Drosophila melanogaster: one gene and its partners. The protein of the gene in region 2 interacts with the protein of the main gene of each other region in a pairwise test. Each region holds a gene or a part of one and is shown on either strand. Other genes may lie near its edges. The genes, in order: CG42659, CG30324 and CG17328.

The links.
Region 1: the proteins of CG30324 (region 2) and CG42659 interact in a two-hybrid assay, tested with the Drosophila melanogaster proteins (one large-scale study listed by BioGRID).
Region 3: the proteins of CG30324 (region 2) and CG17328 interact in a two-hybrid assay, tested with the Drosophila melanogaster proteins (one large-scale study listed by BioGRID).

The regions. Positions count from the first base shown.
Region 1 is NT_033779.5:18,005,749-18,008,505, forward strand, and holds CG42659 (uncharacterized protein), read left to right. Parts: upstream 1-1,611; 5' UTR 1,612-1,745; intron 1,746-1,799; 5' UTR 1,800-1,819; coding exon 1,820-1,969; 3' UTR 1,970-2,094; downstream 2,095-2,757. Other genes in the region: CG5693 (uncharacterized protein), read left to right, coding at 1,035-1,253; CG42634 (uncharacterized protein), read left to right, coding at 2,246-2,590; CG42635 (uncharacterized protein), read left to right, coding at 2,680-2,757.
Region 2 is NT_033778.4:16,287,086-16,289,927, forward strand, and holds CG30324 (uncharacterized protein), read right to left. Parts: upstream 1,149-2,842; 5' UTR 1,056-1,148; coding exon 561-1,055; 3' UTR 501-560; downstream 1-500. Other genes in the region: CG9068 (uncharacterized protein), read left to right, coding at 1-365; CG30099 (uncharacterized protein), read right to left, coding at 1,186-1,839; JhI-26 (juvenile hormone-inducible protein 26), read left to right, coding at 2,287-2,523.
Region 3 is NT_033779.5:16,298,120-16,301,883, reverse strand, and holds CG17328 (uncharacterized protein), read right to left. Parts: upstream 1,671-3,764; 5' UTR 1,574-1,670; coding exon 1,448-1,573; intron 1,392-1,447; coding exon 276-1,391; 3' UTR 119-275; downstream 1-118. Other genes in the region: heix (heixuedian), read left to right, coding at 2,572-3,012, 3,691-3,764.

The DNA of each region.
Region 1 (2,757 bases), on a different chromosome or scaffold from region 2:
ATACTTTCCAAGCTGAAAGCCCACAAATTAACCCAAGTCAAAGCACTTCGGTTCAAACTCTTTGGGTCACTGCAAAGACCACAGTGCAGATGAGCTGCCAGGAGCGCTGGTCATATCACCATGGCCCTTTGATGCTAATGACTCTGCCATCGCCTTAAAACCGGGGGATAAGCATCGATGGGGGCTCACAACGCTCCGAACTTAGCGGGCAATCAAAAACCGTGCTGAGGCAAATTGGCATGCGTGATGTAGATGAATGGAGATGCAGCCAGATGCAGCTAGATGCAGTGGCCAGGGGGAAATGGCGATGGATGGAGTTTCTGGGCGGGGGCAGAGGTACATATGTGGGACAAGTGATTTCCGCATCGCTTTCTGGATCGCAGCGAGCGGCTGCGTTGATTGATTGATTAATTGACAAAGGAATTGCCGTTAGTTTTCCATTCGCATTTACATTTGCATATCTAATTTATGAACGGCCAAGTCTTGTCCGGCCGTATGTAGTTCATTGTGTTAGCTATGCAAATGCTGTACTTCCGCTGCGAGCGTCTGCCCAAAGCAGCTTAATTATTCATTAATTTCAACTTAAATTCCATATTTGTGCCTGCAGCCATTTGTGGCCCAGTTTCGATGGCCTGCAGTTGCAGTTATCTTTCCGCTGGCTTTTGTCACCATAAAACTGAAGTGTTGCCCGATTATGAAATAATTATAAGCGTTCTGCACGCACTAACCGGTGATTTTAAGGGCGATTGGACTTTGATTCGGATTTTGGGAGATAGAGTTCAATGTGGGAGCTATTCGCATCGATTCTAGTACGAAATTAACTAGCTTTGTTTAGAGATTTGCGCAACTCGGGCATCTAGTTACCCGTTCCATTGTGTTTCAATACCCATGGAAATGAGAACATTTATGAGCCTCACTCGGCCCGAAAATTGCACCCAGTTAGCATCTATGTAAATTCACAAAATCTATAAAGTGGGACCCAATTTGCCACTGCCATCTGCCTCGACCTTCGTTTTCAGTGGAGGTGCTGCAGCATGCCTTGCATATTTAATCCGGGCTACATTGGACCCGATCCGCCCTGCTGTGACCCCGATTGCTTGGAGGAGGGCCACTGCACGGTTCCGGAGTGCGGAGTTTGCCCGGAGTCCCAACTACCCCGATGCAATCCCGCCCCACAATCCAACAAGGACGCGGCGAAGCAACCACTGGACCAGAAAGCCCAAAAAGAACCGAAGCTCCGGGAACAGAAGTAGTGGGGAAAAAGGCAAAGCTGCAAAAATGAACCAGGAGTCCTTTGGAGATGTGCTGAACACACAACCTTGTTGTGTGTTGCTAATATCTTCAAACATCTTGAGCTAAACCCATTTAGCTCATCATCTCCTGGGCATCGAACCGTCATATTGTAACATTATATTTCAAAAAAATTAATAATAATAATAAATAAATAAAATGAATATCTATAAATAATAAAAACAATAATAATATATATTAACCTCAAATTACCAGCTCTTTTCTATTTTAGCACAAAATAACTGTGGATAAAAAATACAGATAAAATTAATTCATTTTCTTATGATCTATCTAAAATGAAGTCAAATAAATTTAAACCAGCATTCTTGATTTAAATGTCAACAAAATAACACATAAGCGTACATACGCATTTTCTTCATTCAAATTTCAAGCACGAAACGTGTTGTTCTGGTCAAACATTTGTTTAAATTTCTCATTTTTCTCTTCCATTTCCGGTGAGTTTCGAAAGAGAAAATGTGGGAGATGTATTTATAAAATAAGATTTGCAGACTTCTTTCGAGTGCTGAAAATGGTTTACTTAAGTCGTCCTTGGACTCCGGCCATAAACCCTTTCTACATTGGCCCCTATCCGAGATGCGCAGTATGTCCGTGCAACTTCGACATTTACAAAGGATACACCCCCGGTGGCTGGCACAGTCGTTGCTATAGCAGCTATTGACGAGACGAGTACCTGTATAAAATGCAAGAATAACGGCGGGAACAAATATAGTTGAACTTTGAAACTGCACACCAATTAGCCTCGCACACATCTATGTAGAGAAATAATAAAATTGATTCATCGTCACCAAACTGTTGAATATTGCTGGGGAAATAATATAAATATTCCAATCGAAATGGCTTAGATTTCAAATTAGAACTCCTGGGAATTTTAGTTTATCAGGTCGCAAATTGTGTGAAAATAGTTTTCTAAATTCAAAATTCAAGTCTCTTGGTCATGTCCTCGTCTGTGGATCACGTGGTACACCACGTACTGGCCCCAATGGCAATCAACGTCCTCGATCGCGTGGTGCCAGTAATCCGCCAATTGGTGATCATCATGCATCAGGCATTTCTGGTTGATCACCATGTGTCGGAGCCCGTGATCGATGTATCCGGCATGATTCAGCCCGTTCGTAAAATAGTCTTGATTGTAAACGATTCAACGCCGGAGCACCATGTCGACCAGGAGCAGGTGGTCAGTTCGGATGACATTAACTACCTGATAAATGAAATTTCGCGAAGTATCCGAAACTTGGCCCGTTCGACCTATAATACCATCTCGGCGATGGCTGGAGAGTAGCCCTAGAATTATTTGTCATCGTGGTCGATCGAAAAATCCGACATCGACCCTCCTGATCCTCCAGAAGATCCTGCTCCTTTGCCCAAGATATGGAAATGGTTCACACGGCCATCGGAGTTGCGGGCATAGTGGCCCTGTTTATGGTAGTTTCCCGTTCGTTAACTGAA
Region 2 (2,842 bases):
TGCGACGCAACGAGCGTAATGTGATGAAGGTTCCTCGTACCATCCGTGAAACGGTGGCTGCCAAACAGCTCTTTGAAAAACTCCTGAAGGATGTGCCAGTGAAGCAGTCCGCATTTACTCCGATGCTGGAACTCTTCGTTCTGCTGCACAAATACCAGGTGAAGCTTAGCGAGGAAACATTTGAGCAGGTTATGGGATTGGAAACGGCTTGGCTGCATTACCTTCAGGTGCTGGAGGAAGCGGATGAGATGCTGGACAATGAGGACAGTGAGGCCAAGTTGCTATTGGCCAAGCACGGCGAAAAGTTCAAGTTGATATTAAAGGATTTCCTGGAGGATTTCTATTCCAAATTACCCAAGAAATAGGAGTATCATAACTATTATCATAAGTGATAATCAATTTATTTACATTAAATTTAATTTGCACACCTACTAGCTGAGTAATGGGTATGTGATAGTCGGGGAAATTAACTATAGTGATTTATTGAAAAACATGCAAATACTTCTCACATTCCGAACTTTTATTAAACTCTTTTTTCCCCAATTGAGTCCTGCCCAGGATTACAAGTCATAGCAGAGCGATTTATTGGTACAGGGACAACCATCGATGCCGTAACGCCCAATCGGAATGTCCGTCTGGGTCTCCTTGTGCTGCGGTCCTGGCAACTCGTAGAATTTCTTACCAAAGTATCGATCCGGGAGATAGTACGATGGATACTCCGCCCTCAGCCTCTCGTGATCCTCCCGCAGAAATTTTGCCAGTTCGGGAGTAGCCCGTCGAGCTTCCAGGCGATACTGCTTCGGCTTGGCCATTCGGATTGGAACTTCCAGGTGGAGCTTCGAGTGCGGTATGTAGGACAGCAGCTCCTGGTCGAGTTTCACTGCCTGCTCTGCACGAATTTGTGCGCAAGTGGCACACTTGCATTTTCCACCATGGTAGCAGTACCGCTTTCGTCCATCCTCGTCCACCATCAGCAGTGGGGTGCAGATGGGCGACGGAACCGGTTGTGCCTCCGTCTGCGTGGCAACCGACTCCTGGGCGGGATCGGAAAACATTGTGGAAAGAGTGGGGTTCAAATCGGAAAGGTACGAACGATTTGGATTGCAGAATGAAACTAAATATCGGAGAAAAACAGATGTATTATCAGCAAACTCCTTGGCAACTAGATATCAAAAATTACAAATTTTAAATTAAACATTTTATATTGTGCAGCTTGATTAAAGTTTCCAAGTGGCTGGAGACACCTCTGCTGCATCCACAACTAAGTGCAGAGTGAGGATATGCAGCGGAGGAGTTCCACAGCCAGGTGAGATCCCCATGCCGATCACAATCTTTTATCCTCAATCGTTTATCCCCCGTGCAGTAAATGTTTTTGCTGAGATCCTTCTTATCCCGCTTCACAAAACCACAATCCGGACACACATGGGACATCGCTGGATTTCTTTGTGCAGCCTTCATCTGAAGATAGTAATCCTTGAGCTTTCGCTGACGCACTTCCTCGAAGAACTCGCGCATTTGTGGCGAATCCCGAACAGTGGGCTCCTCGATGGGCTTCCTACTCGCTTGCATTGGACAGACGACATCGTCGTGTTGAGCATTCTTCGACATTTTCAACTGATCGTGTCGGCCGCTCGTTATTTTGCCTTTTCGCGAAGAAGAGGACATATATGACATGTTATCCAAATCCGTGATCCTGATCGAAGCACTTGTCCTCTTTGGCACTTTGGATGGCATGCTGATATCTCGACTTTGCTGCGATCCATTCGTGAACTTTCGAACGTAGGTGTTGGCCCTGGTCATTGACCCGGTCGTTTTGAGTAAATACCAGTTGAGGCCCATTGGTAGTTGGTCGATAGTCGAACTGCAACGGTAGGATAGCTTTTTCTAAAACTGGAAATTTTGACTAAAAATATATCGATACCTGTGATTATGGAAAATAGAACTTAATCCAAAGGAATCATTAAACTTTGCACACAATAAACAAAAAAAAAAAACTAATTAAAACTAATAAATAGCGTATCCCCCTATCTTTGCGTCATGATATCTTATCATATCATTTTAACATGCCAAATTGCATCATGCTAATCATTAGGTAGGTACTGCTTCTCTATAAACCATAAAGTGCTTTTAATGATTAGAAAGCTTTTCATTTCCAATTCGCTCTTATCGTGTAATCTCTAACAACGAATGAGCTTTTGGAGAGTAGTACAAAATGAGCTATATGAAATGGTTTATGCTCATTCGCTATCCACAAGCGAAGCGGTTGGGATCGTCAGTACCGACGAAATGGAGAAGATCGAGGCTGAGAGGCAATGGCTGAGATACACGGTTCTTCCGTCAATTCTGAGGAACGGGCGCCTGGTGGACAACTACAGCGAGTCCAAGGTGACCACATTCCATGTGGGGGACATCGACATTGATGTAATTGGCCACTCGGAGGCCTTTATGCTAACTTTTTGCTACCGGACAACCATTAATTTTGAATACGACGGGCAAAAGTTTCAGCGAAAAATGGTGGTTAAGGTAGGTTTATTCCATTCACATAGTATAAATAAATCTTAAACAATCTATCTGGATATCTAAAAACACAACGAAAAGATTTACTATACTCGCGGAATTTAAATTATATTATATAAGTGCCTTAACTGCGTACTACTTACCAGTTTTGTTTTCCAGCAAACTCAGATAGCTTAGTGAGAGTGTGGGTTTTATGGCAAACATTGTGAAATAGAGGGAGGCATCTCAACAAAAGAACAAAGCGAATTGATTTTGAATTCAAAATAAATCACATCTAATGATGAAGTTTACTTTGGCATGCAATGACCCCAGAATACCAATAATT
Region 3 (3,764 bases), on a different chromosome or scaffold from region 2:
AAGCTTAGTTTATACAACAATGACATTTTTATATCGACGACAAGTATGCGACAAGTACGCGCGGGGAGTTTTTAGTGATTTTAGTTCTTGCATTTAAGTAATAATCTTAATAGAAGCTGTGCTTGCCAAATTTCTACATGTATTTATTGTAAAGATATAAAAGCAAACATGACAAAATATTCCATTTTATATAGACAAACTAAATAAAAGTGTTCAATATCAAAACATAATCTAAAACAATAATTATGATTAAGATAAATCTTCGTAGCTATACTCTAATAATGTAGTCTTTGTGCCGCCGTGTGGTGCAGCATAGTGTAACGTCCTTCACTTGGCGTTGGCGGTGGAGGCGGCGGCGGTGCCAACATGTGAGCCATTGCAGCCATTCCCATTTGTGTGGCGGGATTCGGTGGGCCGAGATGATGCAGTGCATCGTGATGGTAGTGATGCGACATAGGTGGTGCAGGAGGCAACGGCAAATTCAGTAGATTATTATTCGCCGCATGCGTGCGAAAATGTAGACTTAGGCTGTCCGCCGTATCAAATGCCTTGTCGCAATCCGGACACTTGAAGTGGGCGTGATCGAGGGTGTCCAGACCCACGGGATCCGTGTCTATAGCCTCATCATCATCATCATCCACTATATCATGGTTTGTACTGGACTCCAGAGGATGAAGCTTCAATTTATGAGTCCGCATATCTCTTCGCCTGCTGAAAGCCTTGCCGCAGACATCGCAGTGATGGTTTTTGATGCCCGTATGGGTTATCATGTGCTTGGAGAGATCACCGGCGGTGTAGAAACCTTTCTGACATAGCGAGCATACCTGATCCCGCACTCCTAAATGAATCTTCTGGTGCGCCTGGAAATTGCCTAACGCGGAAAACTGCTTTGAGCAGATCTCACACTGAAAAGGCTTGTCGCCCGTGTGCGTTCTTTCGTGGACTTTAAGATTGTACTTTTGGGCGAATCTCTGGATACAAAAGCTGCATTGGTAGGGTTTCTCGCCAGTATGTGTTCTTATATGCTGTGTTAATTGGGCAATGCATTTGAAGCTTTTGTGGCACTCGTAGCAGGTGTGGGGCATCTTTGGCACAGGTTTGGGCCCCCGTTTTTTGTGCTCTTCTGGCGGCTTTCTTTGATAGCGCGACCGCCTCTTGCTCACTTTGGCATCCACGGGTTCCTCTTCATCGCTATCGCGCTGCGGAAGCAACGGCTTCTCCACAAAGTCCGTATTGGTGGCCGCATCCTGGCGCCAGGATTCCAGAATGCCCAGATATTGTCGCAGTCGGAGATCACTGTTTTCGCATTCCTGCTTGAAGTGGAAGGCCACCCCCAGCCGGTAAATACAGTTGTTGCAGATCACCGAAGGTAGGCCATCGGTTTTAAAAACCTAAAACAATTTCCATATGCCAATTAACATTGAAATATTTTGTTTTTAGAACCCACTCTTATTTTAGCGCATTGCATCAACATTACGGAGGGCATCATAGCAAAGTCTGTACTATATATCGAAGTTACAGGATGTAGTTCCTCCAGGCAAACTCTGCATATTTTGTGGATATTATAGTCCATGTTTTATTTCAATTTTATAGAAATCAACAAAAAAATTATTGAAAATTTTGCTCTAAACTCCTATCAGCTGATTGGGACCAGGGCTGCAACGGTACAGTCGTAACTCTAGCTTGTGAAACAAATCTATCATATATGATTAAATTTGTTTCGCGTGTTTAAAATGAATTTCATACTCAATGTGGATTCATTTCCGCAAATATGCAAAAGATATAGTAATATTTTGGTGAGCTACTTCAACTACTAATTACGTTGATAAGTGTTGATAACAATGATTACATAAATATTTAAAACCCACCTTTGTTTTACGAATTATATAAAAAATGCACATACATGTACCGCTAAATATTTATTGCATATTATCTGAATTATTTTCATTTATGAAATTTGGGTAAAAACTGTAGGAATAGGCAGGGCTGCACATGCGATACGGCGTTGCCACCTTCAACGAAAAAGTGTAACCTTTTTTCGTTTTTGCGCTGACGTGACGTGACAGTTGATTTGTTTGATTAAAATAACTAAGAGTAAAATCGCAGCCAAATCGATTTGCGCCACTAACCCGGAATCGATAGCCGGAAGCAAAGACGCAGCCGGAAAAGGAGAGGCATATAAGAAGAACGATCCTCGCACCGGTCGAGGAAAAGAGAGAGAGAGAGAGGGGCAGCGAGAGAGAGAGAGCGTGAGAAACTGGGAGCTGCACGGGTGAAATTTCGTGGTTTCGGGACCCCGACCACCTGAGCTCTCCACCCCCCGCTGATAATATACATATCCCCGCATATATTCCCCACTTTCAAGATGCTGTGTATACAATATTAGCGATTATCGAGACCAGGCAGCGCATGTGCCGGCATCCAAAAAGGCACAAATTGAATACTTTAACTATTGTAAACAAATTCTGGAGAGGAGGTGACCAAGGTCAAACAATCCGACGAATACGAATACCTGGCGGCTAGTCTCGTTTCACTCCACCGCAAAGTGCCAGTTAACCAGTGCCGCTTGCCATGGCCACAAGCAGCCAGCTGTTGCCCAATGGCAACTTGTCCAGGAATGGCAAGACCAAGACAGAGGACGGTGAGGAGGTGGAAGCCGTTGTTGGAGCTCGTGCAGCAGGTGCAGATGCCGGAGTAGCACTAACGGGACGACTAACAGGACACCCATCCACATCCGGAACGTTTATGAAACTGAAAACCTATCTCCTAGCTCTGCGTCCCTGGTCGCTGTCCGCCAGTCTGGTTCCAACGCTGCTCGGCTCAGCCCTGGCCTACCGCTCCCAGTGGGCGGAGGAGTTTTCGCTGGCCACCTTCTTTCTCACCGCCTTCACCGTGGTCACCGTCCACTGCGCCGGCAACGTAGTTAACACCTATTTCGACTTCATCAAGGGCATTGACAAGCAGAAAGCCGACGACCGCACGCTGGTGGATCACATACTCACCAAGGATGAGGTGAGCAATCGAACGGATGGATCAATCAAGCCAATAGAGTGCAGATCCGTCCATAGAGCATAGAGCCTACTCTTATCCTTCGGAAAGTAAAACTTCAAAAAAGTAAAATTCAAACATTTTTCGATTTTTCTGACGTGTTCACCAAAATTCCACATTTGCAAATACAGTATTCCGAAAAATCAAATTATATGCAAAGAAACTCGCGAGCACTTCTAAATCTTTAATGGCAAAACGTGATATTTAAATTCAAATTTGTCAGTGGCGAAGCAAAGATTCTCAAATTTTCTTTTTAAATTAACAAAAACAATTTTAAACACCTAAAATATTTGAAAATGCATTCAGTGTATGTGTGTACATTTCAGATGAACAGAAATTAAATTAGTTTTATATACGTTCAGAAAAAAACGTGCCGAAATCATAAACCATTTTGGAAGCGAAAACAATATCAAGAATTGGTAGCAATTAGCAAGGTACTAATTCAAATCAAGGGCAAATATATTAGAGAGTATTCAAACAATAATACTTTTAAATTTATAATTTTATCGAATTTCTATAGGACAATTTTTTCCGTTTTATAATGGAATTTAATTGGAATATGCATAAATTAATTATGACAGCATGACAGCAGATTTAATCCTTATCCGCAATTATAAATAATAAATATTTGTTAATTTGCAGGTGGTATCGCTGGGTGCCATTCTGTACATGGCTGGCTGTGGAGGATTTGTTTTGCTGGCTGTGCTCAGTCCGGC